Linked DNA regions of Canis lupus familiaris. The protein of the gene in region 1 purifies or fractionates together with the protein of each later gene. This does not show direct contact. Links are inferred from orthologs where the notes say so. Each region holds a gene or a part of one and is shown in the gene's direction. Other genes may lie near its edges.

Region 1 (16,530 bases):
ATATTGTACTCTAAATTTTCTTTGATTACTTTTACAAGAAGAAACCAGTCATTTTCCTTTGCCTTTTTGTAATGTACTTACAATTTAGAACAGTGGAAAGAGATTTCTTTCTTACTTTCCTTCTATTTTTGTTTGTTCTTTTTGTTAACAGTTTTACTGAAATATACTGCACATTTCATACAGTTTGCCCACTTGAAGTGTACAACTCAATGGTTTTCAGTATACTGATGAGATAGCTGTCTTACTAACCCACCCCTTCTGTTTATTTTTCTGTTTATTAGATGAATTTTTTTTATAGTAGATTCATTTCTTAGTCCTTTAGGGCTGCTATAACAAAATACTACAGACTTAAGTGGCTTATAAACCTTTCTCATAGTTCTGGAGCTTGGAAGTTTAAGATCATGGGGCTGGCATTGTTGGGTCAGGGCCCTCTTCCTATCATAGACTTCTTATTGCATTCTCACATGGCAGAACAAGGGTCAAGGAAGAGGTCTTGGGTCTCTCTGAGAAGGGCACTAACATCACTCCTTAGGGTTCTGCCCTCATGACCTGATCACCTCCCAAAGGCTCTGTTCCCTTAGGGGTTAGGATTTCAACATACGAATTTGCAGGGGACACATTTGGACCATAGCAGATTCATATATGTATTTTGTGCTTTATGCTTATGTTTTAGAAATTGACGATGATGTCGGTGACTATCTTGTGTTAATTCAAATAATCTCTTCAAATAATTTGGAAATAAAGATAAGCCTATTAATTAAAAATGTGCCAAATGTGATGAGCTGTTCACTAAATAGAATTATGGATGGTCAATAAACACGTGAAAAAGTGTATGATTCTTCTAGTAATGAATGAAATGGAAGTTTAAAAGCTCTCCAAAATGCTGATTTTTTTTTTAATCTAAATATGGGAACATAATCTTAAAAGTCAGAAGCATACTATAAGATGAACAAGAAAAACTATAGTTCTTTGCTTTCCCATCTGCCTTCTCAGGCAATCACTTTCAACTTTTGCTTGCTTCTTAGCAGTTTTTCTTTCCTTGAAGAGAAGGCTGATTTCATTTTCTCCCAGTTTGATAGGATATGGTTGCCTGTTGCTTAAGACCATATCTTCTAGGACTGTGAACTGGATCAAATGGTCTAGTGTTCTAGAACTCAGTAATATATAGAACGCCAAACTACTCCTAACCCAAACATTAATTTTTTTAACTTAAACGTTTTAGAGTTTTTTAAAAGAACTATTAAACTACTTCACTTGGAATCTTAATAAAATAGTTAATCTGGAACCAAATCATAACATCAAATTCTTTTCCAAAGCGTATCAGTATTTCATCATTTAGTTTCAAGTTCCTTATGTTTCTCCATCTCCAGTTGCAGCTTTTACATTTTTAAACAGGAAAAGTAATCTTTAGTTGTGACCTATTTAATGATACATGCACAAAATCTTTCTACCCTGACATTATTCTCATTGTGTATTTCACTGATTCTTAACCCAGCATCTAGTTCTCCTCAGAGCTCATGTTTTGATTTGTTTCCAGTGAATTTTTTTTTTAAGATTTTATTTATTTATTCATGAGAGTCACGGGGAGAGAGGCAGAGACCCAGGCAGAGGGAGAAGCAGGCTGTGTGCAGGGAGCCTGATGTGGGACTTGATCCTGGACTCCAGGATCATGCCCTGGGCCAAAGGCAGACACTCAACCGCTGAGCCACCCGGGTGTCCCTGTTTCCAATGAATTTTATTTTATTTTATTATTTTATTTTATTTTATTTTATTTTATTTTATTTTATTTTATTTTTATTTTTTTTAATTTTTATTTATTTTATTTATTTATGATAGTCATCAGAGAGAGAGAGAGAGGCAGAGACACAGGCAGAAGGAGAAGCAGGCTCCATGCACCGGGAGCCCGATGTGGGATTCGATCCTGGGTCTCCAGGATTGCGCCCTGGGCCAAAGGCAGGCGCCAAACAGCTGCGCCACCCAGGGATCTCTCCAATGAATTTTAAATAAAAATTCTCACTACAGTTTGTGTTTGAGTAATTTACCTTTCCTGTTAGTGAATTCTGGAGAGAAATCTTCCTCTGAAAGGATACTCTTTGTTTCCTTTTTGCATTATCTGGTATGCCTCTTCTGTATTAAGTGCCTGCCTCATTGAAGGTTTTATGTCATTATTAAATTCGTTCAATTTTTCAATAAGCTTTATTGCAAGGAAATTTGGCCTTCGTGTTTCCAATTCTTGAATGCCTTTTGAATTTTATTTATTTGGTTCTTTTTTTTTAAGGGGAGGGGCAAAGGGAAAGAGAGAGGATCTCACCACTCTGAGATTATGACCTGCGCCAAAATCAAGAGTCATGCACTTAACCAACTGAGCCACCCAGGCACATCTGGAATTCAGTTTTTTAGTAGCAAAAACTCCAAAGTGTGATGATGATTGAAATTTAGTTTGACAAGGGGGAATGTTTAAAAATTATGACTTTCTTTTTTGAATCATTACAGGTTTTTTGTTTTAAACAATGAAGCTGGGTTATTGGAGTACTTTGTGAATGAACAATCTAGAAATCAAAAACCCAGAGGTACTTTGCAGCTTGCAGGAGCTGTAATATCACCTAGTGATGAGGACTCCCACACCTTCACTGTAAATGCTGCCAGTGGGGAACAGTATAAACTTAGAGGTATGATCAAGATATGAGAATTAATAGTGTGATTTTCTTCTTCCCTTGAGTAGTTGATGTACTTTTCTGCTTTCATTTGAGTTTTGGTAACATACTGTCATTGATGATGTAGGTAAGATTCTAAATCGTAGAATTGCTTATGAGTTTATGAAATCTGTTTTAATAAATAAATTTTCTCAAGTGGCACAATAAACAAGTGTATTTACATTTGGCCCCTGCAAAATATTTGTGTAGACAAACCTGATTACTGAAAAATCTAAGAACATAGCTTTAAATTTTATTTTTTGTGTCTGCCACAGATTTGTATTTTACCTCTTTTCTTGATTTGTTTTGCATGCCCTCTTTTGAGGTTTCTAGTGACTAATTCACATCGTTGGGATTTATTAAAATCTGCATATTCATTTTTAAAATATAACTTTTGTTCAGGTAAATTTAACTTGTGTTTTTCATTTAATTAATGCATATAAAGTATAATGATAATCCTAACTGAGCATGTTGTAAGAGATCTGAAAATATTGAGTACACATCAAATGCTTAATAAAGATGATTTAAGTAACAACATATTTTTATGAGAAACTTAGGACATGTTAAGTCTCATATCCCTGTCTAGCTGCATATAATTTATCCTCCTTCTGAAATATCCATCCATATCCAGCTACTGTGTTACCTAACAAAGTTGGTGTTTGGGCCTTTTTCCTCCCTCCCTCCCTCCAGGGGGGACATTTGCTCTAGGGAGAGTAGGAACAATCTCTGGTTTTCAATTATCTGTTCTTCATGCTGTATACAATTGTATTTCAAAAATAAATATAAAAGTGAATAACTTTTAGGTTCTTTTTATCAGCCACAGATGCTAAAGAGCGACAACATTGGGTTAGCAGACTTCAGATATGTACACAACATCACACTGAAGCTATCGGAAAGGTATGTGGATTCCTATATGATATTAATGCATAAAAATGAGGGAAAGACTACTTATTATCTTTTTATATTTTTAAATTGCAAGACTATTCACATACCATAAAATTTACCCTATTAAGGTGTGTGGTTCCATTCGATTTATTTATTTATTTATTTATTTATTTATTTATTTATTTATTTATTTACATTCGTTTTAATATATTTACAAGATTGTGCAACCATTGCAACTGTCTAGTTCCAGAACATTTTCATCACCCTCCAGAAAACCCGTATCTATGTGCAGTCACTTACTATTTCCAAGCCTCTGGCAAACACCAATCCATTTTCTATTTCTATGGGTTGGTCCACTCTCAGCCTTTTATATAAATAGAATCATACAAAATGAGGTTTTACTTCTGGCTTCTTAGACTCCACATGATGTTTTTCAGAGTTAGAAGCAAATTTTATTATATGTCCAATTTTACTTGTTCTTTAGTCTTTTATGTACACATAGTATTTTCAGGGTTCATTCATGTCATTGCATGGATCATTTTATTCTTTCTTATGGCTAAATAATATATTGTATGAATACACCACATGTTTATTCATTTATCAGTCAGACATTTGAGTTGTTTCCATTTTGTGGCTATTATGAATAACATTTATGTCTAGGTTTTTGTGTGAACACATGATTTCACTGAGGTGTGTATTTAGGAGTGGAACTACTGAGCCATATATGGTGGTTCTCTGTTTAACTTTTTGAGGAGCCACCAAACTGTCTTCCAGAGTAGCTGTCCTGTTTCACATTCCTATTTGCAATGTATGAGGGTTCAGTTTTCCCACATCCTCACCAGTACTTGTTACTGCCCCGCCACTTTTTTTTAACTGTAATAGGCATCCTGTGTATGTAAAATGGAATCTCACTGTTGTTTTGATTTCATTTCCCTAATGACTAATAATGTTGGACATCTTTCTCTATGCTTACTGATCACTTGTATATCTTTTTTGGAATGTTTTTTCTTTTTTAAGGTGGAAAGGATGGTCTGAGTACTTGAAATCTGAGTTAGAGATATCTAAAAACCATCCAAGAGGTATAGTTCAAGAGTTCCATACCTCTGTGATAGCTTGACTTTAAAAAATGATGTTTTTTCCTGTTTTTTTTTTCTCCATAAGTAAATTTTAAAAAGTTGTTTGTGATTTAGGCCTACTGCCCAGTCTTCAGGAAATTCATAACAAAAGTTTTACTCCTACTGCAGGATTGTAGTCATTGGCAGTGATCAAAGGGTACTAGTTGTTCCAAAGATACTTGCATGTTACATTAGAAAATGTATTATACTGCATATTTTTGCTTCAATTATGGTGTTTAAAAACCTGAAATTAGAAATGTCTTATTCTAATATTTGTAAAATGTGAGAAAATATTCTCAACAGCACAAACCCATAATCAATTTTCTAAATAAATTTACAACTTTACTGTTGGATGTGTCAAATGTTTAAACTTTGAGTGTTTTAAATTTTAGCATTTTTTTCAGGAATGTTCTTGTAGTCAGTTCTGAGGTGAATTTAATTTTTAAAACTGTTCATGGTGTAGACCTAAAGTATATATGTAATATGTGAGGCTTAGCCTAAATTTTTTGAAAACAAATTATTTTCTTTGTCTAATAGAATAATCCTCCTCTGAAATCACGAAGCTTCTCACTTGCATCTAGTGGTAATTCTCCTATATCCCAGAGGAGACCAAGTCAAAATGCCATTTCTTTTTTTAATGTTGGACATTCCAAACTACAATCAGTGAACAAAAGAGCTCACTTACCTCCAGACCATCTTGTGGAAGTCAGAGAAGTGAGTATGAATTAAAGTCAAATTAAAATGCACAAAATTGTCTAACTTGCTTGGTTCTGTCACAAAAGAATTTGAAATCTTATTTGTGTCTTCTAGGGCCCTCAGAGAACTGCATGAAAACTTAATAGTAGCATTTTCTGAAATTAGAAATTAGATGCAGTGTGGAATCTAATATATAATCCATGAATTTTTTTTTCATGAACTTTTCATATTCTGTTGCATGGAAATCTATTGATTTGTCTTACAATTAGAAAGTATCTTTAATCTATGCATCATTTTATGACTCTACACATTAGTCATTTGGAAAATATCATTTCACAGAGTTATGCAGGTCTTGGAGATATTGATCTGTTTTATCATACTGTATCAAAAGTTCCCATTCATTAACGTCTTCACCAATCTCTTTAGAGAAGGCTTTCAGTATTGGGAAGTTGTCCAGCTATGGGACTCCAGGATCACGCCCTGGGCCAAAGGCAGGCGCTAAACCACTGAGCCACCCGGGGATCCCTTATTTTTTATTTTAAAGCTCAGGTTACCCGGGATCGAATCCCACGTCGGGCTCCCGGTGCATGGAGCCTGCTTCTCCCTCTACCTATGTCTCTGCTTCTCTCTCTCTCTCTCTCTCTCTCTCTGACTATCATAAATAAATAAAAATAAAATAAAAAAAAATAAAGCTCAGATTTTATAATTGGCAATAAATACTGTTGTCTTTTTTTGTTTGTTTTGAAGTGATAGGTTTGTTTTATTTAATTTTTAGGAAATGCCAAGTTTGAATATCTTTAGTTTCTAACAGTCATTCTATAATGCAAAACACTCCTGTGTTTCTCCTCTGCTTTGCTATAACACTGTACGCTTCTGTATTCTTATTCTGGTCATCAAATGTATGGAGTTTTCCCACCGCAAAGCAATTCTCTAATTCTCTGTGGACAACAGCTGTGCATCCTACAATTTAATTCAATTTGGCACTATCTACATAAAATAGTGTTGGATCCCACAAGACTGCCCCCCTTTTAGACACCAGCTGCAAGTTCAGGTTGTCACCTGTGCCTTTGACCAACCTGGTATAAATTAACTCAGGAACAGGCCAATGTAAGAGGAGATGCATAGGGCCAGATAAGGGGGAAAGGCATGGAGCTTCCATGTGCTTTCTAGTCTACTACCCTCCCAGTACCTCCAAATGTTCACCAACCAGAAGCTTCTGAACTTTCTCTTTTTTTTTTTTTTTTTTTTTTTTTAATGGAGGCTTCATGAGGTAGGCACAATTGACTGAATCATCAGCTATTGGTGATTAATTCATCCTCCAGCCCCTTTCTCCTCCCTAGAGGTTGGCAGATGGGGCTAAACACATATATACATATCTGTTGGTTATATACCTAAGAGTATAATTGTTCAATTGTAGATTATAATTATTTAACCCTGTATATTTAACTCTGCTAAATACTGTCTAACTGTTGGCGAGAGTGGTTTTACTATTCGTAAGTTTGGATTACTGAAAGTTAGTCCTAACATTTATATACAAAACATTTTATATACACAAAGCACACATATATATGCATGTATAAATATGTACATATAGTTATCTTCATATCCACACTTTTCATTTAAAAACCTTTTCTCTGGTAAGGGTGAATGTTCGATCCATTGCTATGACCTGTATTCAGGGGCTCTTTAATGTATGACACACTTGATTTGTTGGGTAGGATAATTGCATCTTTCTTTCACTAGCCCTTTGATGAATCGTATTAAAAATTGCCTGGGGATCCCTGGGTGGCGCAGCAGTTTAGCGCCTGCCTTTGGCCCATGGCGCGATCCTGGAGACCCGGGATCAAATCCCACGTCAGGCTCCCAGTGCATGGAGCCTGCTTCTCCCTCTGCCTATGTCTCTGCCTCTCTCTCTCTCTCTCTCTCTCTCTCTCTCTCTCTCTCTCTGTGACTATCATAAATAAATAAAAATTAAAAAAAAATTGGAACAGTGCCTCGGAAAGCTAAAAGTCTCTTCATTATAGTTTCTATGTGAATTAAAATAGTGGCTTAAAAGATAGGCAGTCTGAGACTGTTCTGCTCACAATTGAGTATTTAAGCATAATAAATTCAATAAAGTAATTAAGCACAATAAATTCAGGTTTCATTTTAAAATTTTGGGTTGCTTATCAAGCATTGTTATTCTGTTGGCTCTCTTAGGAAAAGTGAACAGAACTCTTGATCAAAGCAGGATGTATTAAACTCTTTTAACCTGAAAAGCTTATATCCAGTACTTGCTACAAAATCAGACTAATGGGACCAGAAAGTTAGATTAGAGAAAAGGAAGCAGGAGAACCATCATGTTCTCAGTGTAGGTTCAAATTGAGCCTGACCAGAGGTGCTGAGAAGAAAGAGGTTAAGAGCCCATACTGGGGACTAATTTTACTTTGTAATGAAATATTTAATGTTGCTGTTGAAGATGATCTTGGATGTTCTTTAATGACTTGTACAAATGTATACTGTTAAAAGATTTGTCAAGGCTTTTGAGCTTTGTTGCTTCCAAAGAAAAAGTGCAGCTGCCAAAGACACCATCTTTTGCACAATTGATAAGCACTACTAAATAGTGCTCATTAATTGAGAATAGCCAAACATAAAATAGATTTCTAAGCCTAATATATCCTAAAAATGGTTCAGAAGCTAATAGGGTAATGAGAATGAAAACTATGTATGCATGATACACAGAAATCATGAGTGGGATACATGGAACTGTTGTTTTCCTTAGATGATGTCTCATGCTGAAGGACAACAGAGAGACTTAATTAGGCGAATTGAATGCCTTCCTGCTTCTGGCCATCTTAGTTCCTTGGACCAGGATCTCTTAATGCTCAAAGCTACTTCCATGGCAACTATGAACTGCTTAAACGACTGCTTTCATATTCTCCAGTTGCAGCATGCATCACATCAGAAGGGCTCATTGTCTTCCGGTAAGTTGCAGATTAAAAGCAGGACTTAATATTAAGGGCCAAAGCATGGAAAGGTTGTGTCTGTTGTAATTCTAACTCCTAAAAAATCTTAATAATAATAATAATAATAATAATAATAATAATAATAATAATAATATAAAAGAAAACCAGTGAGCTTCTTGATTTTTAATTACATAAATGTTAAACTCTTATTTTGTCCTTTTTTGAATCTAAAATGATTTTAGGCCCAATGTTTAATATAATTGAATATCCCTTTGGGGACCTCAACTTCACATGTTGAAAACTCAGCTTAAAACCTACATCTCCTACATTTCTGCTAAAATTGGTGGCATTGTTATTCATCCAGTCGACCTTAGTAGAAATATTGGAACCAGTTCTTATGGTTTAGTCCACTGTTCACTATATGCACTTTAAGCTAGAGATACTAAAGTCGATCAGTCACTTTTCAGTTTGAAAAATACGGTGTACATACAGTATTTGAGAGCACTGACTTGTTGAAATTAATCCATCAAGGAAAATAGTGCCATTGTATGGGAGGACAAAAAATGAGTTTTTCTATTTAATGAGATAAGTAAACTCATCACATTTTTCATTTTGAGATATAATTGACCTACAACTCTGTAAGTTTAAGATGTATAGCATATTGATTTGATACATACACATGTTGCAATATGATTACCACCAATATGATGATCACATAATTATCACTTTTTTTGTGGTGAGAACATTGAGGATCTAGTCTTTTAGCAGCTTTGAAGTACTTAACACAGTATTGTTGACTGTAATCACTATGATGTGCATTAGATTCCCAGAATTTATTCATCTTCTAGTTGTAACTTTGCACCCTCTAACATCTCGATTCTCCCATTCCCATCGCTTTGTTTTAACAGTAGTAACTTACTAGTTCATACCAATTCATTGTCCTCTTACTCAACTAACCCCGCTTGTGAAGAAAGTTAATTTAGAAAGATACTGAGTGTCTGCCCAGGAAGAAGTTTGCCATAGTCCGATCTATTTTTTTTTTTTTAAGATTTTGTTTATTAGAGAGAGAGAGACAGAGAGAACATGTATATGCAAGCTGGAGGAAAAGCAGAAGGGGAGGGAAAAGGATGAGGAAAAAATCCCAAGCAGAGTGTGTGCTGAGTGGGGAGCGCAGCATAGGGCTTGATCTCATGACCCTGAAATCATGACCTGAGCTGAAACTAAGAGTGTGAGTCACCTACACACCCCCTACCATAGTCCAGTCTTGATGTGGATATAATATGGCTTCTGTCCTCATGTATGCCTACCTAAATCAATATTTCAAGCTAACTATGTTTAATGGCTAGTAAGCCATGCATGTTTCCCGTAAGGAACTCATGGTCCACTTGGGAATGAACATATAAACTTAACTGTAATATGGAAAGTACTGTTTACAATGGGAACAAAATACTTTGGGAGAATATATGAATGGACCAATACTTCTGACAAAAAAAGTCTGGAAAAAGGCCTAGAAAAGCTCCAAAAGCCAGTGGAGAGAGAGGAGAGTGTGCTTGGAAGAGATAGACTGGCATAAGTTGTGAGTTGTGAACGTGGACCAGGGCCTTGGAGGAATTGTAGGTAGTATATAAATTTTCTCCCATTATAAAGCAGCACACACTTGAGATGCCTGGGTGACTCAGTCTGATAAGCATCCAAATCTTGATCTCAGCTCAGGTCTTGATCTCAGGGTTGTGAGTTCAAATCCTGCGTAAAAAAAAAAATAAAGCAACATATGCTATTATAAAAAACTGAGGACCTATTATACAGTTGAACAAAAAAAGAAATCATGCATTATCCTACTAACCAGAAACTGCCACTGTTAATATTAGTACATACCCCACCAGATTTTCTTTCCTTCCTAGTTTTTGTTTTAACCCCATTTATTATTAGAAAATATGTTTTTATCTTATACTTTTCATGTAATATCAAGAATATTTTCCAACTTCTGTTATGCTTTTGGTAAACACAGTTTTTATTGGCTACATTATATTCCGTTGAAGGGATAGGTCTTTGGTTTACTTGACTGTTCTCCTGTTGAACATTGGATGAGTTACCTTGAACTTTGAGATTTGGGTTAATTCTGGTGTTTGTAATAATAATGTTGTCAGGTAAATGAAAGTTTGATTTTAGTTAATGCTACTTAATTTTTACAAAGCACATCAAGTAGCGCAGTGTTAAATACTACATACTTAATACTTGGTTAATTAAATATATATAATTCTTCTAATTCTTAAAATTTCATTTGTGGAGTTAGAATACACAGTTGTATCTTTAAATGATTGTATTTTTAAATGATTGGCTGCATGCTTAGTGAAGCATATACAAGCATGTATAAATTTGTATTTTTTCAAATTAAAAAATGGTACAGACTATAAACTACAGACGTGTTTAAAGTAAAAGCTGTTTTTCCTCATTACTATGTTTTAGGGCATAGATTTATGGGTATTTGGTGGAATTGATTAGCTAGTATTGGTATTTCTTACTATAAATAGTCATTTTCCAAATTAGGTCTGTAGAAATGTATTTTTCAGTCATTTGAGAATAAAAATATAACTAGAAAAGGAAACTGAATTACCTTTCACTCAAATTTTGAAGTGACACAAGAAATGAAATCTAAATTTAAATTAGTTTTTAGTCCTATGAGTTCTCTTAATGTATGTTATCCAAAGGATCATTGATTTAGAGGGATCATGAGACCAGATGATTGGTTTGATAAAGAGTATTTTACTTTTAGAAATAAAGAGATGTGGGGGCACCTGGTTAAGCATCTGTCTTCAGCTCAGGACGTGATCCCATGGTCCCCGGAGCCCCGAGTCCGGCTCCCACTCCACAACTACTCTCTCTGCTCTCTTCCTCTCTCAAGTAAATAAATAAAATCTTTTTAAAAAATAGAAGTAAAGACATCTAGATTTTGATATTAAGAATGAACATTTTAAGGTAGGAACAAAATGTTTTCATTTCTATGGAATTTTGAAACTGGCCTCTTGAACTTACTCAGGGCATTCCCTGAGAAGTTGGCCTGAGTGGCGAGGCAGGATGCTCTGGTAGTCTGGTGGGTACTTAGTAATTTATCACTATACTGAAGTCTGGCATTTCATTATAGATTGAGTGAATGACCTACTCTTTGTAATTTCTGCTGTAGTAGTCTGAGCATCCCTTATTGTAGCACTCTAATAACCAGGCTTCTGTGAAACCTAGATCAGCCTCTGAAATCAAATGGAACATTTTCCATTATTGATTAGGCATAGAATCCACTTTGTTAAACTAGTTGAGGGTAATAAGAGACATTTGAGTCATTAACTGAGAAGATGACAGGTCTCTAAATGTGACCACTGTCTTTCACTAGGTCACCTATAATTTATTCAGTAGAAAAAAGCCTTTCAGTTTAAAAGTATCTGCACCTCTTTACATGATTAAAAAACAAGAATGGACATGTATTCCTAATGTAAAGTACTTATATTAGGCCAAAATGGCTATTTTGAATGGTTAGAAAATTGCTACTGAAAATAAGGTTCAATTCCAAAAATGAAGAAATTTTTACTGTTTCAAAATCCCAGGCTCCTCCTGTAATTGTGTGGCTCCCTAAAGCCTAATTGCATACTTTTTGATCATTAGGAAGAAGGACCGTGTTTTTACAGAAAAGGTAGCAAATCAACTATTAGGGTGGGAATACATTATCATTTACAGATTTCCCAAGAAGAAGGTCATTTCCATTTAGGGTTGATTCTTTTAAAAGGTATCTGATTTCAAGTCGCAATTTGCTCTGTTGTAACATACCCAATCATGATGCTCATGCTAATGAGATACAAGTGGCTGTTTTGCAGAGTCTCTTAACAGGTTGAATTGCTTTTAGTCTTGTGGGCTCAAAACAAAATTGTTTAATAAAATCCACATCTGCTGAACTTTCCAGATTATGAGCAAGTTTCAGCGAAAGTTTTCTCTTACTTCATCAGGAACGACAATCGAGTGGTTAGAACCAAAGATACCTTTATCAAACCACTATAAAAATGGAGCTGATCAGCCTTTTGCAACTGAGCAAAGTAAACCAGTGGCAGTCCCAGAAGAGCAGTGTGTTGAAGAATCTGGACCATTAGCAAGGGTAAGGTAATGTGAAAATACAGTTTTGATGTAAAAATTAGGAATCACTAAGGAGGTTCAGTTCTCTTTTCATTGTCAGGGCATGCAAGTCATTCTAACACCAGAGCAACATTCTTGCAGACTCTAGATATTGTTTTTCTAATTTAAGTAGCAGTGGCTTTAGAAGAGGTCTGTTGTATAATACTTGCATGTTTTGTGTTTTTCAGGTTAAATTATGTGCCTTTTGTAGTTTGGGCTCACTTTTGCTTGATAAAACTGTATTGAAAAGTTGCAATTTGCATATTTTTATTTTTCTAGAGAATAACGTATCTAATAAGATTTGCAATATAAGATTTGTAATTATTTGCAGGATAAGAAATATATTTATCTTAAATCTTAATGTAACATTACTTATTTGATGTTTACTATTAAATTTGCAAGTTTAAAAATTTACTATTAAGTCTTTTTTGTTGTAAGCACTTTACCAAACCAGTTTAAGTTACTCTACTTAAAATAGCATAGTCTCAGGGTTTTATGTTTTTATAAGTATTATTTATTCCACATTTCTCAGATGCTAAAGCATTTTTTATTCTAGTCATAGTTCCACCACTGTAAAAAAATCATATTGGTTTTTTGCCTATTGTGTTATCTTTATGGTTATCATAATTACGTAGTTTTATTTTAAGCTCTTTTTATTTGAAACTTCTCATAAGCATTTTTTCTGGCCTATATAATTAAAATTTTACAGGTTGAAATAAGCTATTAAATATCTAGGCTCTTTGTTATTTTTTGTTATTATAAATAACACTGTATCATCTTGTCTATTTTTTTTTTCCTCTTTATTTGGGTTATATCTTGAGGTTATAGTCCCAAGTAGAATTACTGAGTCAAGAATAACACACAGCTTATGATTATTTATATATTTGCAAATTACTTCTTCAAAGAAGTACATGGGGCCACCTGGGTGGCTTATTCGGTTAAACATCCCAACTCTTGATTTCATCTCAGGTCATGATCTCAGGGTCCTGGGAGCAAGCCTGGATCTGTGCTCTGGCTCTGTGCTCTGCAGGGAGTTGGCTTGAGATTCTCTCTCTTCCTCTGCCCCTCCCCCCCATATAAATAAAGAAATCTTAGAAAGAGAGAGAGAGAGAGAGAGAAAGAAAAGAAAAGAAAGAAAGAAAGAAAAAGAAAGAAAGAAAGAAAAGAAAAGAAAAGAAAGAAAAGAAAAAAATACACGATGCACGATACAGAGACTTCCAAAATTGGCCAAAACCTTGGTTTAATGAGGCAGGCAATGGCAGCAGTGTAGATGGGAGAGAAGAAAAAAACAGTAGGAAATGCTTTTTTTTCCCTCCTGTAACTTTTTGACCAGCTCATTTCTAGTCAAGTAGCTAGTATTTATTAAGCTATTTAGTGTATGACAGACAAGTCCAATGTTAGGTATTAGAGGAGACGTAAAAAATCAAAGACATAGTTCTTTCACTGAAGAGACTTATAATCTGCTTGGAGTCACAATAACATATAGACCAAAACAATGAGAGGATAAACATGAAGCAGCATTTTGCTTTCCATCTTAATTGCTATGGCTTAGGGTGTTAGGATATGGGCATTCTGAGAAAGAAAGAGAGGTGTATTCAGTAGAGTGGATAAGGAATGCTTTGGAGAGGAAATGGAATTGGAATCAGGCTTTGAAAGAAGACAGGATTTAAAGAGAAAAGAGGAGTAGTAGGATACTCTCAGGATGGATGAATACCAGAGCAGGGATACTAAAGCATATATGCTTATTGTGGTGAAAGCTTGCTTGATGGTTTGTTTTTTTTTTAAGATTTTATTTATTTATTCATGAAAGACACACAGAGAGAGGCAGAGACACAGGCAGAAGGAGAAGCAGGCTCCATGCAGGGAGCCCGATGTGGGACTTGATCCCCGCACCCAGGATCACGCCCTAGGCCAAAGACAGGTGCTCAACCACTGAGCCACCCAGGCATCCCATTGCTTGATTATTTAAAAAAAAATTTTTTTTTTAAAAATTTAAAAAATTTTTTTATTCATTTATGATAGTCACACACACACACAGAGAGAGAGAGAGGCAGAGGGAGAAGCTGGCTCCATGCACCGGGAGCCCGACGTGGGATTTGATCCCAGGTCTCCAGGATCGCGCCCTGGGCCAAAGGCAGGCGCCAAACCGCTGCGCCACCCAGGGATCCCCCATTGCTTGATTATTTTAAACCCAGATCCTGTCATTTACTGACATGTGGACCAATAATTAACCACTTAGCTTCAATTTTCTCATTTGTAAAGTGGAGATAGTAATATCTTATAAAGATTGTTATGAACATAAAATGAATTTAGCAGAGCACCTGGTTTATGGAAAGTGATCACAGGATGGTTAGATTTTACAAATCCAGATAACCATTTGTGCTGCATTCTCTGGGGATTGATAATCCCTGGAGCCAGTGCTCCATAAAATATAGTGTAAACTGTGTCTCGAAAGAACATAAAAATCATACAGAAGAATTTAGTATTAATGTAATAGATGATAAAATCATGAGCATGGGATATGTTTAAGATTGATATATATGATACGACCTAGAATTAAAGTGTTGATAGAAGGCTGTGGAGGTAGAAATGAAGACAAATGAATAGGTAATACGCATTTCAAATGAAAATCAGTTGGACTTGTGATTGAATACCTGTTGGGTTAGATGAAAGATAACTCCCACGTTTGTGAGCTTAAACAACTATAGGTAGAATTGGGGTGCTATTCACAAAGTTAGGAAAATTAGGAAGACAGAGTCTTTTTTTTTTAAGATTTTATTTATTCATGAGAGAGAGAGAGGCAGAGACCCAGAGAGAGAAGCAGGCTCCGTGCAGCACCCTGAGCCAAAGGCAGATGCTCAACCGCTGAACCACCTGAGTGTCCCAAAAGAGTCTTTTCAGAGGAAAAGTTTGGTATGGTTTATGAACTTGTTGAATTTTTATTTTTTTTTTATTTTATTTTTTTTTTTTAAAGATTTTATTTATTTATTCATGAGAGACACACAGAGAGAGAAAGAGAGGCAGAGACACAGGCAGAGGGAGAAGCAGGCTCCATGCGGGGAGCCCGACGTGGGACTCGATCCCGGGTCTCCAGGATCATGCCCTGGGCTGAAGACAGCACTAAACCACTGAGCCACCCGGGCTGCCCGAACTTGTTGAATTTTTAAAGATTGTATTTTTAAGTAATCTCTTCACCCGCTGTGGGACTCGAACTCACAACCTCAAGATTAAGAGTCTCCTGCTGTACCAACTGAGTCAGCCAGGCACCCCTGACCATGTTGAATTTTATGTGAGAGGAGGATATATAGTTGTAAACGTATATTACGTTTACAATTAGAAATAATGAAACCAGAGCTTTGGAGCGAGATTAAGACTAGAGATATAATTTCCAAGTGAAAATCGCAAACTGTAAGTCATATACTCTAACATCTTCACTCTTCTCAATGAGAATACAAAGCATATTGGGGGTTAGAGAGGCATTAAGTTAAAGGTAGGACACTGAGATGCAGAGGAGAACATTGTGATTTATTTCCAAATCTTTTGAAGTAGTGAATAGACCAGAAATATCACCTAGTGTAAGTCGAAAGAAATAAGCACATAGGTACTATTTTTAATTACAAAAGACACTAGACTCTACTCAAGTATATCAGAATAGACCTGAATTTTCTAAAAATTTCATACCTGCCTACTTGAAATATGAGTGTTAATGCAAGCTGGAGACAGACATATAGTAGTGGAGATTTTGCTGCCAAGTGATGGAAAAGTAAATCTTAATAAGGCTACAATGAAGCCCACACAGTTCCTTTGTGCCATGTCAGAAATCAGAAGGACAGAGGTGGAATTAATATGAGTTTGGTGAAATACTGGTGTTTTCCCTTTGCCTTGCAGTCTCCAAATATGAATTCCTAGAAACTCAAGAGTTCTTGCCACTGTCTGCTAACCATTCTGGGTTTGTAGGGATATTATATATTCAAGCACATTCATTTGAATTTTGGTAATGCTTTTATCTTAAGCTTTTCTTTAAGAAAGGTGATGACGTCT
Region 2 (16,630 bases), on another chromosome or scaffold:
GTCAAATGTGGATTTTAGGTTCACAGGCATCTTTCTACGAGTTTGGTTGCCTTTAAGAACTGTATTTGTGGGAGAAAACACATCAAGAACTGCCAAGAATCTGGTTGCCTACAGGTGCCCTCACCTTTGCAATCCAGAGAAGTGAAATGAGCATGGAAAGAAGATAGTTCAATAAGTAAGGATAGATTCAATATGGAAACCAAACTGTTGATCCAAACAGTCTGAGGATACTTAAATATGCCCCTCCTTCAGCTGCTGACATGGAGTGGGACCTAGTACCTGATGACAACATGGGAGACAGACATCCTCAGTATGTGTTTGATGGAGGAGTGAATTGTTACAACCCTTTGGATAAAAAGTATGCAATATATATTGAAATAGGAAGTATCTGCGATTCAGTGGTCCCACCACTGGAAATCTCCTTGTGGATATAAAAGTATTATATGATAAAGATATGCACATAAGGATGTTTATTGCTGTGCTATTGGTTGTGATAAAAGCCTAGATCAATTTACATGTTGATCAATAATGGAACAAGTGGTTCTATAGTAGGATCATCTATTCTATGGAGTTAGCTGTTAAAAACTGAGTTAGGTCTCTGCCTATTGACCTGGCCAGATAATACACTGTAAAGTGAATAAAGCAATGGTCTGGTAATATGTTAGAATTCATGTTAAAAAAGTACACCAAAAAAGCAAACTAGCTATGTTTTTATAAGTATAGATAAAGTTAGAGTGATACACAACTCAGGCAGTTAAACTGGTTACTGTAAGTGGAGTAAGTGGAGTAGAAATTGGGAAGTGTAGGAAGAAACTTTCTGTCCATATGCTTTTTTTGGATTATGTCATTTGTTACAATGGCACACACTGCTTTTACAGTATGAAAGATTAATTGAGAAAACACATATTCTTCAAGTGATTTTTCATAAACAAAGATGATTAATCTTACAGTTTTAACTGCTTTAAGTGGTTATAAAAAGAAAAATCCCCAAGATTGAGTCTTTTTTTTCTAACTCTTCATCCAGCCTTGATTTTATCTGGTGAAGCGCCCATCTGCCTTCTTTTGGAATCTATATTTCTCACTGAAGTCTTACAAATGTGCTACAATAAGTACTACCAACAAATCCACATTTACATGATATTGCATCCCTGTGATACTTTCTGGCCTCGTACATATTGTAGTTTGTGATTAGTCTCTAATTATCGTATCTCTCTGTTTTAGGCAGATCCTTGTGTGCAGTGACTGCTTTATTCCTGTTTTACCCTCAGCATCCTGTTAGTCAGGAGAGTGGTTTGCAGTTCTTGCCTTCTAGAATGGCTCAGCAGATTTCCACCCTATTGACCTCCTTCCTGATCCACTCTTGGCTTCCTTGATGCCTCATTCTCTGCAATTATCCAACAACGTAACCTGAAAGAACACAACGAAGAGAATTAGGTGCTTAGAAAATTGAGGGGGACGTGGAGGAGCAGGTTCTTGATTAGGCTCCCCAGGAATGACTCCAGGGCAGGACTGAACTGCCCCACCTGGGCAGCTGCTGCCTCTGAGGCTGTATCTTTTGCCTCTGACCCGGGGATTGGGAAGCTGGATCCAAGAAGGGGGGCCACTGCTTCTGCTGACCTGCAACAACTGACGGTCTCTTGAGATCCAGGAAGTCAGTAAATGGAAGCTGGAATGCTGATGCAGAAAACTTCAAGTCTTGGGGCGTTTGTCTCAGCAGAGAAACAGCCAGAGGCTGCAGAAAGCTGGCCTTGGTCTCATGTCTAACTTTTAAGTCTCGTCTGAGTGTATCTCACTACTCAAACTTATTTTAAGAACAGAATAATAGCTGCAAAGGAGAAGCTTCATGTTTATCTCTTCTGCTTGAATATAGCCCTACAGGAGCAGCGACCATGTCTATTGGCTCACCACTATACCACCAGCACTTACCACGATGCCAGGCACACAGTCATAATTTAACATTTAGCATATATAAGGTAACAATGCTGGATCCAGGCACTACCCTAAGCTCTTCGTGTGCATTAACTCATTTAATTCTCACAACAAACCTCAGATGTAGGTATTATTATTCTCCCCAGTTTACAGATGTAGATAGAGCAGGCATAGAGAGGTGAAGTAAGCTGCTAAGACCATACAATGGTAAACAGGACTTAAACCCAGCAGTTCAGACCCAAGGCCAGTACTCTTATTCTGTATGCTTTACAGCCTCAGTGTTTATTGCAAGTATGCTCATTTAAATGTTTACTGAGTTGTATTACACAGAGGCCTGATCACATACAAATTCATAATTACATAGTACTTTTATAAAGTAAAGTTTAACATGTTTAACTACGGAGAAGATGGTTATACTTTGTTACCATTTGTACTGGTACCTTTTTTTTTATCCTTGCCAAACCTGGGAGATAATCTGTCCAAAGGTGAATACCACTAGTGATTCAAGTAGATTGAAGTAATATTCAAGGACTTCATACTCCTTGGACTCATAAAAACTTCTTAGTAGCTAGAGAAATATGTTTGAGTGTGTGTGTATATATATATCTGTATAATTGTATACATATATAGTATACATATTGTATACATTATACATATGTATAATTGTATACACATATAGTATACATATTGTATACATTATACATATGTATAATTGTATACACATATATAATTGTATACACATATGTATATACATATGTGTATAGTTGTATATATGTAATATATACATAAGTATACATATAATTGAGTATGCATATACATGTATATATGTATTCTGTATATATATTTGCCAATACTTTAAGAGAACTTTATGTGCTACATTAATCAACGTAAGAGCAAACAGTAAACATTAGGCTCCACCTTTCTCCATTCCTAACTTAAATGTCAAACAACACACAGACCAATTACATTTTAATTTGTCTTAATCACTTTCAGTTGTCGTTGCATTAGGGCTTTGGGAAAAACAAAAATGCACAGGATGGAAAATCGGGCAACTCCCCTTCTCAAGTTTAGCTCTGTTACTGTCGTGAGATGCTCTCACCTGTGTTTTCATCCCCATATTTGACAATAAAAGTACAACTTGCTGTTATTTGGTAGTTCTGAGAAGGGTGTGACGATGTCTGTAAAGCTCTTTGAACTGCTAGAAGACGTTAATAAATACCAAAGCAGAAACCTCTTCAATAGTGAACTGTTCAATGAGGGATACGATGATTCGGGAGAACTCTGAATCATTATCAATGCAGTGCTCTAAAACAGGAACAGAGGAATTATTCCAAAGATGTTTCAGGTATTCTCAGATGACCAGATATTTAAATTCTCATAGAGGTTTAAGACTATATGATATCTGAAGTCACCTCGAGGAGACAAAAACAGTCGATTTCAAAGGTCATGGCTTAAAAATAGGCCCGGGCTGCTTCATCAGGCTGGAAAACTGGAGCATATGCACTTCAGCCTTCCCATGGAATTCAGGGCGAACGCGAGCCGCCGGCGCCTGGGGAGTGCGCGGGAACTTCCGCAGCACGCGGGCCCGGGATCCTCAGACGCTCTCCGGTCGGTCGGTCGGGGCGACGACGTCCATCTGGCGGCGGAGCAGCCGGTTCAGCCCAGGCGAATCTGCCCACGGAAACCCGGCGTCTGTGGCCGCCGACGGGCCGTCTCCTCACGCTGATCGCGTGTGAGACCCCGTCCCACGCGGTGGTCGTCAGCCTCTCTTGACAAACGCCCAGTTGTGGTATTGTCCCTGGACGATGACTGAAATCTCAAGATAAATTTCGTGAACGAAAATAAATCCAAGGGGAAAAAAAAAAAAAAAAAAAAGAAAAGAAATCCGAGGAAAGGGGAAATTAGAACGCACTTTCGAACGAGGCTCTCACGGCTTAGGCTGCGTGCCCGTCGGAGGTAGCGTCCGCCGCGGGCGCCGCCTCAGGGCCTGACCCCACACGGGCGCGGCTGCACCGAGCGCGCGGGTCGAGGCGGCCCTCGTGCCCACGCTCATTCCGGACCAACGCGGCTGCCCCGCCGCTCCTCTGCGGCGCCTCCTGGGGGCTCCGGTGGCCGCCGCACCTCAGGCTCAGTCGCGGCACATCCACCGTCACACCTTCGCTCCCGGGGCTTTCCTCCCTCGCTCAGTTTGACCATCCGCCGAACTCGCTTCCAACACGACAACGTGGCTTGGGCCCGTCACTTGACAAAACCGAAGACCAGGCGCCCGCAACCCAACGGGGTGGGTGGGGACCCCCACTTGCAGCTGGGTAAGGGTGCTTCGTCAGGGCTCCCCGACGGCGGCGGCTTCCTGACCCGGGGCAGCTTCCTCCGTCGGCTCCGCATCGCTGGATGCAATTCAGGAAGCGGCAGACGTTCCGCTGGAAAACGACGGAGAATGTAGAGGGATGGGTGGACTTAGAAATTTCAGAAATCTTGGTTTTATATTTCTAGGCGGGGGACCTCAGGTCAGTTTTCAAAAGTTTTTTTTAAATTTTTTTTTTTTAATTTTTTTGTTTTTCAGCGCAGACGAGACGCTGAGAGCCAAAAACGGCTGTCAGCCGGCCCACCCCAAGCGCCTCCAACGGACCTCATCACCCTTCCCGCCCACCCACAGCCAGTACTACAACTCCCGGCAAGCATCACGCAGTGCCGCAAAAAGACCGGGCCCCACGGGCATGCCGGGAGTTGTAGTGAGTGAGCCTGACTACTTTCTCCTTCTCTTAAGCGTTCCCACTTGGAAGACAGTAATGCGCTGCTAACAGCCGGTTCTCCAGCTTCGCCGTCGGAACTAAACGTGAGCGAGGATTGCGCCCTCCCGCCCCGCGGTGCACACCGCGTCGCTGCCACGGGGCTTCGCTCCGCCCTCCATCCACACCCGTTCCCTTGACAGTTCGAGCTCCGAGCGGCCGCGAGGCCCCGAGCGCGCAGGCGCAGTGGCCGGCGCCGCGCAGGGCAGGACTGGAGGGCGGGACGGGCGCTAGGGGCCCCCGGCCGCCGGGGCGCGCACGTAAGCACGCAGAGGCCGTCACGTGGGGTGCCGAGGATCGCAGTGCGCGTGGCCGCGGCGGCTGGTGTGGGGTTGAGTCAGTTGTGAGGCCCGGAGCTGCTGACCCAGCGGGCGGCCCAGGGGTCCGGCCACAGAGCGGCAGGCGTCGGGGGTTCGGGCGCCGTGAGCCGGCCCCATCGTAGAGCTCGGCCGAGCCGCCGCCGCCGCCGCCGCCGCCGCCGCCCCCCGCCCCCAGCCAGCAAACCGCCGCCGCGGGCGCGCCCCCGCTCTGCGCTGTCTCTCCGATGGCGTCCGCCTCCGGGGCCATGGCGAAGCACGAGCAGATCCTGGTCCTCGACCCGCCCACCGACCTCAAATTCAAAGGTAGGCAGGGGGAGGGCAGCTGTCCGGGTGGGGCGGGCGGGCGGGCGGGCGGCCAGACTGGGGGCCGCTGGGGGGTCGAGGGAAGGTCGGCGGCCGGCCGCGAGGGAGCGTCCCCTCCCCCACGCCCCGCACTCTCCATTCTCGGCGGCGCCCGCCCCGGCCCTCGGCCTCCGGCCCCGCGCCCGGCCCGCGCTCGGCCCGCGCCCGCCCGCGCCCGCTCGCGTCTCCCTGCGCGCGCCGGCCGGGGCGAGGCGGAGGGGCCCGGCCCTGCCGCCGCCGCCGCCGCCATCTTGCGGTCCCGCGGGGGCGCCTCCCGGGGGCTGCCCGCGCCGCTGGCCTCGCGGGGCTGCGTCCTTGGCCCCCGCGGCCCGTCGGGCGTCGTCTGGGAGGGGGCGGGTGGGCGGTGGCCCTTGAGCCTGCGCTGGGTCCGCTGCGGGCGCGCGGGGGCCCCGGGGGTGGCGCCGGCTGTCAGCGGCGGTGGGAGGCCCGGGACGCGGGTCCGGGAGCAGCGGCTGGGTGGAGCCGCCCCGCGCCCCGCGCCCCGCACCCCGCGCCCCGCACAGGGGCTGCCGCCCACCGTGTCGCTGGGAGGGGATGGGGCTGTCGGGTTCGAGGCGCTGCGGGGAGGCGGAGAAGCCCGTGAAGTCCTCCAGTTAGGACCGACCCGGCTGTGCTGGCCGAGACCCAGGCGCGTGCGGGCAGGAAAGCTGTGCGTCAGCCCGCGGGCGGAGAGTAGTAGGTGAAGAGTAGACGCCTTCCTGGTTCTCCGGGACGGCATCTGGGCTCTCCTTCCCGCGGGCCCACCTGCCGGGCGCTCTCGCTCTGCTTGTCAGCTTAGCCCTTGTGCTGCGGAAGCTCCAGGGTGCGGGGCTCTGCCTTTAGGTTTCTGGTTTACGGGGAGGCTGCTCAGGTGTCCGTCGGCTCTGGAGCGCCCTGGGTGCACTTCGCAGCGATGCTGTGGTGAACCAGCGGTCCGACTTGGTGATCCCCGAGCAATCCGAGGCGGCTCTTGGCCCCGGTGGTGTTCAGAGTGCAGGGTACGTCAGGGAAGAGAGTTAGGCTGGTTTCTTTTTAGGAATGCCGGAGGCCTGGGCAGTTCCGACAGGGAAAGCGGATTCCTTCCCGTCTTGGTTTAACGCGTAAAGTGAATCGCCTTTTGGAAGATTCACGATCTTGTTTGAGCGGCTCTGAGGGGAGCGGTGTTTGCGAGGCGTGTAGCCATTCCAGTGCTTACAACAAATTAAATCCTTTATTGTTGTACGAGATTGAGTCCAAAGGGAAAACAAAAGCTTTCCATAGACAACGCTTTGAATAGTTTTAGAGATTTTAAAATATTGTTTCCTGGCATTTATGAGAGTAGTAGATAGGTCCTTTATCTTGCAAGCTTTTTAGGACATTTGCAGATTTCTTTGAATTGGGAATGTGAGCTGCTTGTTCAGTAAGGATTTGGTTTTAAGACAACTCCAATAATTTGAGGGGCACTAAGTGTATCTTACCGGAACAAGTTGACGTGTGTGGCGTTTCACATGGCTTTAGCTGAAAGGAAAAAGCACCTTTGGGGAATCATGAAAATTACCTTACTTAGATTATTTTTGACTGGAGGGATTTATTGTAACCTCTGTAATGGTGTGTGTGCTTTTGAGAAGTTAAAAGAATTTTTGCTTTTACTTTTTGACAGGCTGAGTTTACAGAGGAAATTTCCTCTACTGGTGGATGTCCATGCGTGTATTACCTTTAGGGACTTTAGAAGCCTTTGCAACCGGCTTTAGGCCAGAAAATGTGCGCAGAATTTGAAGCTTTCTCCCTAGAGAAGTTGTCATGTTGCCATAGTAAGAGACTAATAATAGTGGAGAAGCAAGCTAAAGAAACAACTCAGAACCCATACAATAACGTTCATATATTACATTATTTTAGTTACTGAAGAGTTATTAGTCATGATTATGGAACAAGTTTTTCTTGTGTTATGAATGAAAATAATTCACAATGACCATTTTTAAAAGTTTGGATATCAGTGACCACTTTTTAAAATTGACTTTTAAAAATGTATTTCACTGAAAAGTTTATGAAGACATATTTGGTTGGGCCACTTAGTGAACACTTACTGAAAGCTTTGTGCCATCCCTATATTTAATTAAGAGTATTCAACTAAGTAATTCAACAGTTATCAGATTATATTTGGGGATTCAGTACTAAACAAGGTGGGAAAAGATGTACAGTTTGTAGTTTAATAGAGAAAGCGTCCAGTAAAACAGTGAAACGTGTTAGGTTTTTTCTTTGTCCTTGAAGAACTCAGACTTGTGAGGGAGACCAAAGGCACATAGGTGCTATTAACAGAGGCAGGACTGGTATGAAGAAACCCCCAGGTTTCTTGGAAGAGGCTTATTTTCATTTGGGGGGTGGGGGGAAAGGGATGGGCAAGGGAGTGGTTGTTTACTCAACTACTGATGTAAGAGAATGTGTGGCTTATTTATTTATTTTCTCTCTTAAAGCAGGCTCCATGCAGGAGCCCGATGTGGGACTCGATCCCGATCCTGGGACTCCAGGATCAGCCCCGGGCCAAAGGCAGGTGCTAAACCACTGAGTCACCCAAGGATCCCCGAGAATGTGTGGCTTATACTTAGTGGTTTGAACTGTGCTTTTCTGTTCCAGGGTGGGATAATGGGGAGGATTGGGGAATAGGAGGGGTAGGGTGAATTAGGAGAGATGACCTTTGATGTCATTTGATTCCCTTCTTCCTAATGTTCTTTTTCTAGTCAAAGGTAAATAATTTGCTTTGATGGAAACCTCTCCATATTCCAAAGCACAGTTCAACACTAAGTGAGGAGACTTATTTAGAATCCACAGTCTCCTTATCCTTAGTTTGATGATGATATATAGTCATTTCATTCTGACTTGCCCTAAATCATCTGTAGTTTTTAGTTAAGTGTGTTAAAGGATAGTTTGCTAAATTCTTTATCTTTTTTGTAGGCTTATTTGAATTCTTTTGAACTCTACACTTGACGGAGATCGTTTCTCCAATAGTGACTCGTTTAATCATTTTGAGAATAGGTGGTGAATTTTTCTGTCATATGCATAGCAATCATCTTGATAGGAATTATCAGCACTTTGCACAATTATGGAGAAACATATACCAGTTTAATACATTTTTCTAATATCTCTATTTTATTAAAAATTTTGTTTTATACAGTTGTTAACCTATGAAGGTGCTTTTATAATGGTGTAATGAATTCTAAGGTAGCTCTTTTGTCGGATTAGTAAAGAAAAAGAGGTAGGTATTACCAAATTTTGTTTAAACACTGTCAGTAATTTGACCTAGAATTCAGATGTGAAATTTGATATTATATCTGAGAGATGGTTTCTTTGTGCTGTTATAGTTTTACTATTACAGCATTTTTTTCCATTGTATTATATTATATTTTTCCTGCCTACTAGTGGTTTTGGAGAAAAGTTGGAAGAAGGAAATTTAGAAAATGCTAAAATAAAATGTGAATGTATTCTTCCTCCTAGTAATCAGAGAAAGGAAAATAGACCAGAACCATTCTGTTAAAGGTGGCCCATAACAAAATCAAGCGAATAAAGAAAATTAAGCTCTCTGAGGAACCAAGAAACCTGTGATGTCAGCCAGAACATCTTTGAATAGCAACATAATACTGAGAAGTACAAGTGAGGATGTAGAGTTCTTCTACTCTTGGTAGATATTTGGCATATTTTTAGGTCTTTCAGATCAGCTCTTATTTCACAGTGGCTTCATCGGATCCCTAGGGTGATTTCCCCCTTCTCTGGGCCACAGATGACATCTTATTACTCCATTCCTTAAAAGCTCTCAAGTAGCTCTTGATTGCCCACTGGATCCAAATCTATTGGATCAAAAATAGATAAATATATATATATATATATATATATTTTTTTTTTAGTGTGGTATTTACGGTCTTCCATGATGTGCTGTCTTCTCTTTTAACACCTGTTGCATCTTTACACATCTATACTCCACTCCCCCCCCCCCCCCGCCCCCAAGAAAGAAAAACCCTTCTCCTATCCAAGCTTGTTTGTTCTGCTGTTTTTGTTGGTTAAGGTAAAATCCCTCATGACTCATACTTAGACCATGTTCCCTCAGATATTTTCCCTCTCATGTTTTCAACCACCGGCTTCTTCCTTTAAACATACAAGTACACATAAGTCTTTCATTGTAAAAGCAAATAAACAAAGTACTTGACTCCCAACTCCTTCTGGTATATGTCCCTCCCTGCCCCTCATTTCTTTTGCAGTCAGACTTATTGGAAAAATTGTCCGTGTGCACTGTTTAGTTTAGTTTCTCACCTCTTGTCCCCTGTAGTATTCTGTCCTCACTGCTTATTGCTTGCTGATCGCATTGATCATTTCCAATTCATATCTCTGTGGCACTTTACATTATTAACAGTTCCTCTTTTTAAAAACAATTCTTTTGACTTCTATGTAATTGTCTTCTAATTTTCTTTTTTGCTCTCTTTATTGTCTCATTTATGGGCTTTTTCTTAATTGCTAATATTTCTGAGATTCTGATTTGGTTTTTTATCTCTGTGAACTTTGCTTCTTCAGTCTCCTGGTTTTTGATGGCTTCACCTTCTCTTGCTCTATCTTTGCACCTGTTGGTTCACACTCAAATTTGTATTTTAATTAAGACTTTACAGAGTCAGTTTTAGAATTGCTTGCTGACTATCTGGATTTGAATTTTGACTCAGTTTTTGGGGGAGTATGGGACAGAAGGGGAGAGAGAGTCTTAAACAGGCTAGAAACCCCACATGAGGTTTGGTCTCACAACCCTGAGATGATGACCTGAGCCAAAATTAAGAGTCAGATACTAAACCGACTGAGCCACCCAAGCACCCCTTGACTCAGACATTTCAAACTTGGTATATCCCAGATGGATTTTTTTTTTTTTTATAACCCAAGCTTACTTGTCTTCCATATTTTTAATTTTTTGGTGGCATCGTGATTATTTATATTAGAAATACTCTGTATATCTGCTAATTAAAATCTGTATTTCTACATCCCAGAGATAATTTTTGAATCTGTCTCCTTTAAAACAACTCTGCTTTTAAATTTATTCATTTTAATTCATTTAATTATACAATAAAGATTTGAATTTCTGCAATGTAGAAGTATTGAGTAAGTGTTAGAAGTACAGTTTTGAATAAAACACTATCTTTGTTTTTCATGCAGCAGTCCCAGTCGGAGAGAGAGACACCAGTCAGGTAATCAGCAAAAGGAACTGTAGCTCTGAAGAGGTGTGTAGGGCTATGAAAACATAAAATTGAGGACTTTGATCTGCTCAGGGAAGACACAATTGGACTAAGATTTTCTAAGAATGAGAAGTTTCCTAGGTGAAAAGGAAAGAAAACTGCAGTAGGCGCTGCATGTATTTACAAAGATCCTGTGGCAGGAGGGAACCTGAAACATTTAATGTTAAAGTAATCTCATGAGTGTGGTGCTGGTTTCTAGGTTGACTAAGGAATTTTGTTTTTATCTCACAGGGATTATAAGTGGGGGGAATGGTAGAGTGGGGGGAATGTAGTGATAACTCAAATTTGTACTAAAACAATTTCCATAATTCTGGTAACAACATGAAGTAATATTAGAAGATAGAGATTAGGCAGTTTTTTTAGTTCAGGCAAGAGGTGACAACTTGGTCTGAGGTATTGGAGATGGTGAAAAGTTAGAGGGTCAAGCCAGTGAGACTTGGTGGTCTATATTGGATAACGCTCCTGCAGAGTAGAGGTGTGTTGGATGTCTTTGAGATTTCTGGCGTATGTAACTGGAGGAATGATGGTGTCCTGGGCTGTGCTAAAAAAAGAAACACTGGTATTTATTTGAATGAGGACCACGTGTGTTTTACTTGGGGGCGTGTGGGAGAGCGATAGGAGGAGGGTCCTGGTCTCATCTGGTGTGTTAAATGTGTTTAGGTCCTTTAAAGAGATTAATGCAAAGTAACTAGTAGATTTTGGTTATATGGATGTATTACTTAGGGAGGGATCTGGGTGGGCTTTGGGTAATTATTTTAGGTCATTATCGCTTGCCTTTTTTCTACTACAAGTCTGTAGACAGGCCTGCTTTTCACTAGTGTCCCTCTCTCTTCAGCCTCTCTTCCACACTGCTGCTAAGAACTATCCTTTGTAAATGCAAACTTCAATGCTATTGCTCCCTTGGGTTATCGAACCTGCTGGCACATTTCCCCAGTATGTAGATGAAAAAGTCCAAAACCCAATGCCTGCCTCTCCATTCCCTTCTACACATAGCTTTGGTTACATGAAACCATTTTCCCCAACACTTCAAGCTGTTGCAAGGCTTTGCACATGCTCTGTCCCGAATATTGTTCTCCCTCATATCTGTCAAGCAGTCTCCAGTTCAAGAATCCTTTCCTTTTGTGAAGTCCTTGATTCTTGCCGTCCAAGTTGGTCACCGCCTTCCTTTTTCAGGCCAGTGTTGAAGCTTGTGCTTATCTGTAATATCTGCATTTAACCACATTACAGAGTTTTATGTTAATATATTTTTTCTCTCCCAAACTGTAGCGTTAACTACTTGAGGATATACTTGTTTATTTTATTTTTATGTCCATGGTAACAAGATCTGGCATGGATGATTGTCCAATAAACATTGATTGCGTTAATAGGACTCTGATGATTACTCCTGTAATTTCATGTTTTTCATCTTGGATCTCTTTTCGGTAGGCTTTTTCATCTGCCTTTGCAGGTAGTTGTGTTTTCAAAATTTTATAGTTTCAGAAAAGAGGACATTTTGTTAAAAGGGATAGGACTAACCCATAGATAATTTTTTTTTAAATTTTTTATTTATGATAGTCACAGAGAGAGAGAGAAAGGCAGAGACATAGGCAGAGGGAGAAGCAGGCTCCATGCACTGGGAGCCCGATGTGGGATTCGATCCCGGGTTTCCAGGATCGCGCTCTGGGCCAAAGGCAGGCGCCAAACCGCTGCGCCACCCAGGGATCCCAATTTTTTTTTTTTTTTTTTTTTTCAATCTTTGTGCTTCATCCTTTTCATTTGTGAACTATGAGGCAGGACTAGGTGATTTCCTGGATGTTGTTCTGGCCCAGAGGTTTTGAGTATGTTTGTCAGCTGAGAAAAAGAAGAAAACACGATATTTCTATGAAGTGGACAAATACGTGTAAAGGAATTGGGAAAACTTGATTGGTTTTTGAAGTTTGGTATTTTGTGATTGTTAAGTTTTGGTAATTTTGTTGTTGGTCTACCATATTAGTTATCCTTTAATTTCCTTTAAATAAGACATTCTTTCACCATGCAGAGATGTTCTGTGAAGAGAGTCATTAGCAAACACCTTTTTATTTTCTAAGAGGCACTTCTTGACCTTCCTTTCTTGGGCTTTTGGATCTTAACCTAGAGGGATTATACAGTGAAGTCTCAGCTGCCTTCCAGGGGTGGAGGTGATAAATTTTAATATAGGATGGATCTTATTTCAGCCTTGAAAAGTTTTAAAAGAAGTTTAGGGACACCTGGGTGGCTCAGTGGTTGAGTGTCTGTTCAGCTCAGAGTGTGATCCCAGGGTTCCAGGATGAGTCCCGCACATCAGGTTCCCCACAGGGAGCCTGCTTCTCCCTCTGCCTATATCTCTACCTGTCTCTGTCTCTCATGAATAAATAAATAAAATCTTAAAAAAGAAAGTTTGAAAGTAAGAGGGGAGCTATTATTTGCAAAAACTTGTTTATTATAATTGAAATGTGACTCAAATTACTAGATAAAAAGCTTAAAACTTTTTTTAAGATTTAATTTATCATGAGAGACATACAGAGAGAGAGAGAGGCAGAGACACAGGCAGAGGGAAAAGCAGGCTCCATGCAGAGAGCCTGATGTGGGACTCGATTCCGGGTCTCCAGGATCAGGCCCTGGGCTGAAGGCGGCGCTAACCCGGTGAGCCACCCGGGCTGCCCAAAAGATTAAAACTTTTAATGAAAGCTTTCAAACATCCATAAAAACATTGTAATGAAACTTTATACTTTAATAATTTCATATCCTTTAATGATTATTAGCATTTTATCATGTTTATTTTTTGTATGTTTGCTGTGGTGTTTTAAAATAGATTCTGGATATCAAACATTTGAACCTAAAACTTGAGTTTTCTTTTCTAATAAAAGGACATTTTCTTTACATAATTGTGATGTCATCTTAAACCAAAAATAACCATTCAATATCATCAAATATCTAATCTATTAAAATTTCCCTAAAAAATAAATAAAATAAAATTTCCCTAATTCTGTTTTTGCTGTTCAGTCTTCTGTGCATGCCATTTGGTTGTCATGTATCCAAGTCTTAATTTTAAACACTGCCTCCCCCCCCCCCCCTTTTTTTTTTGGTCATACTATTGTTGAGAAGATCAGGTCATTCAGTAGAATGTCTCATATTCTAGATGTGTCTGAAATGTGTTTCCTATAAATTTGAATTTAGATTTGAAGGCTTGATTAGGCTTAGGTTTCAATATTTATATTGGTAAAAATACCTTCAGGGGGTAGAATTCTGTTGCACCAGGTATAGGTAGTGTCTGGTAGTCCCAGTTTTAGTGATGCTGATGGATGGGAACAGCCTTATTTCTCCATTGAAAAATTACATAAATATGAGCCTATTTCTGGTAATATGTGCAAGAAAAAAATTGGAAAGAAGATGTTAATGATTAGCTCTACTTTAGGATTCAACTCTCTTTGTTTTTATATTTTTACTTTTCTGTGTTTTCCTGGACTTCACGGTGAACATGCATTGCTTTTTATGAGAGAGGAAAACTTAAAATTACTTTATTAGTCTTGATACCTTTGGAAGATTAGATCAAAGTTTTCATTTGTTCTTCCTGTGTTACCTCTTTTTATTTTTAGCTAATTAAGTCTTTTACAGTTTGAGGTCTTTTTTTTTTTTTTTAATAATGCGTATTACAGGAAGGTAAATAGAAAACAAGTCTAATGTTTGCAACCTTCTGGTAACAGTTCACAAATCAAGTTATATAAAGACAAATAGAAAACCATGTAATTTATAGCTGTCCTGTAATTACAAATTGTAACTATATTAAATATGTCGTTTCTTTGAACTCTTATTATTGACATCAGTTGATGGTCTCTTGTGAGAAGTGGGGTAGATTTGTTTGGGGGTATTTATTTCTCTGAGAATGGCTCCTGCAGATACATTTTTAGGGTCCCTCTTCTCCCAGTGTCAGTTAGTTCAGTGTAACCCAAGGCTAGCCAATATATAAACTGATGGCTGACCAGCCAGAATTTTGATGCCAGCCCTTTAAACGTATTGTTAGATAGACGATTGGCTTTAGATCTTTAAAGGATTGGCTTTAGATCTTTAAAGTCGGCTGATTTGTGCCATGTGTAAGCAGAAGCAATGAGGTGAGAGAGAAGAGGGGGAGAAAGCTGACCAGAGATCTTGTGGTCCCAGGAATCAGTTTCTCTTGAATGCAGTCTCTTATCTTTTTTGTTGTTGATGTTGTTGTTGTTAAGATGTATTTATAAGAGAGCATGTGTGTGAGTGGATGGAGGGGCAGAGTGAGAGAATCTCAAGCAGACTTGAGCGACCCATGGGATCATGACCTGAGCTGGAACCAAGAGTTGGATGCTCAGCTGAGCCACCCAGGCACGCTGCAGCCTCGTTTTAAGGCCAGCTATATACTTCATTTCCTGTCGTTGAGACTCCTTGTATTCTTTATAATAAACTCTTGAGTATGATTTTGTTCTTCATAATAAATTTGTTGCTTAAACAAGATTGAACTTCATAATTTGTGAAAATATGTTCAACTTTATGATTTCACTTTTATGAGAGTAATGTAGATCAGTGTCTTAAATTTTTATGGAAAAAACATCCACTTAGATATTTTTGATGACTAATTAATATCCCCATAGTTTGCTTGGCTGCTTTTCACTGGCATTTAGAATGTTCTCTATAACTAGAGTAATGATGAACATTTTGTACTATTTTCAAAATTCAGGTTTAAATGAATGAGTTTGAGTATATTAGCTTTTTTTTTTTTTGAGTATATTAGCTTTTAAGAATTCAGTTCCCATTTTTAAAAATAGAGATGTTAATTAAAAAATTGTTAACATGAGAGGACTTTAATATACTTAGCTTGTAATTTGATATGTTTCTTAGGGCCTACATTTTGACAACTTTTCTTTTGTAACTGTACTTCCATATATATCCATCCACACATATATATCCATTTATATGTATTTGCTTTAGTACTTAATCTGATGTGACTTGGAATGACTGCCATACCTTTAAAGGTATAGAGTATCTTTGTTTCCTGTTTAGTTGTTTTCTCTATAAAACCAAATTTACTCTTACAACATTGGGAGAGATGAATCACTTAGTCTTGTTTTCTGAGTTCTGTTTCCACTGCCAAAAACTTCAATAATAAAGTCCTCAGAAGATGTGTGTGTGTGTGTGTGTGTTTAATATTTTCAGTTTTTCCCTCAGCACTTTCCAAATAAAAAGCTTTATGAACAAATTAAGCTAATATGCATACATGTTTGAAAGTCCTTTTTGATTATAAAATTTTCAATAGAGAATTGAAAAAAGGATGGAGAGGTGTAAAGCAAAAATTACTCAAGGTTACCATCTAGAAATAATAAAGCTTGACGTATTTCTTTTTATGTTTTGTGTGTATAATTTTACACACTTATATCCTGTATTTCTGTTAATATTATTGTGATCATTTCCTCATGTTATGACATAGTGACACAAAATGAATATTCAAAATGAATATTTTGATTCTAAGCTAATGAGTTTTAGATATTTAAGTGGTGCTGAAAACATTTATTTCTGTTTTTCCCCAACTATCAATTTTCCTTTTATTTCCTTCCATCCTACTTATCTAGATTTTAAAAAGTTATCTAAACTCTTAAAATATGGATCCACTTCTATTATACTTTTTAAAATTTTTAAATATTTTATTTATTCATGAGAGACACACACAGAGAGAGAGAGAGGCAGAGACATAGGCAGAAGGAGAAGCAGGCTCCTTGCAGGGGAATCTGATGTGCGTGGGACTCGATCCCGGAACTCCAGGATCACACACTGGGCGGAAGGCAGGCACTAAACCGCTGGGATATCCCGATCCACTTCTGTGTTAATAAAGATGTTAAGTAGCAGGCATCCTTCATGTTTAGCCTCGAGTGGAAATGTTCTCTTTAATGTAGTGTTTTAGGTGTGTGTACATCTTTTTTTTTTTTTTTTTTTAGAAGGTTACACAGTGGAAGATAGTCACAAAATGTTCTGTTTCTGTGAAAAGACAATT

What was found.
Region 2: the proteins of OSBPL11 (region 1) and VAPA purify together in Homo sapiens (co-immunoprecipitation; 4 studies listed by BioGRID and IntAct, counting the BioPlex papers as one, with this or other methods). This does not show direct contact. The link is inferred for Canis lupus familiaris from reciprocal best matches to the Homo sapiens genes OSBPL11 and VAPA.

The regions. Positions count from the first base shown.
Region 1 is NC_049254.1:29,231,362-29,247,891, reverse strand, and holds part of OSBPL11 (oxysterol-binding protein-related protein 11), read left to right. Parts: intron 1-2,493; coding exon 2,494-2,669; intron 2,670-3,510; coding exon 3,511-3,590; intron 3,591-5,230; coding exon 5,231-5,407; intron 5,408-8,150; coding exon 8,151-8,352; intron 8,353-12,326; coding exon 12,327-12,472; intron 12,473-16,530. UniProt on the Homo sapiens protein: Plays a role in regulating ADIPOQ and FABP4 levels in differentiating adipocytes and is also involved in regulation of adipocyte triglyceride storage. Weakly binds 25-hydroxycholesterol. Interacts with OSBPL9 to function as lipid transfer proteins.
Region 2 is NC_049228.1:75,925,545-75,942,174, forward strand, and holds the start of VAPA (vesicle-associated membrane protein-associated protein A), read left to right. Parts: upstream 1-8,940; 5' UTR 8,941-8,955; coding exon 8,956-9,032; intron 9,033-10,540; coding exon 10,541-10,572; intron 10,573-16,630. Other genes in the region: homeobox protein engrailed-2-like, read right to left, coding at 4,692-5,285. UniProt on the Homo sapiens protein: Endoplasmic reticulum (ER)-anchored protein that mediates the formation of contact sites between the ER and endosomes via interaction with FFAT motif-containing proteins such as STARD3 or WDR44.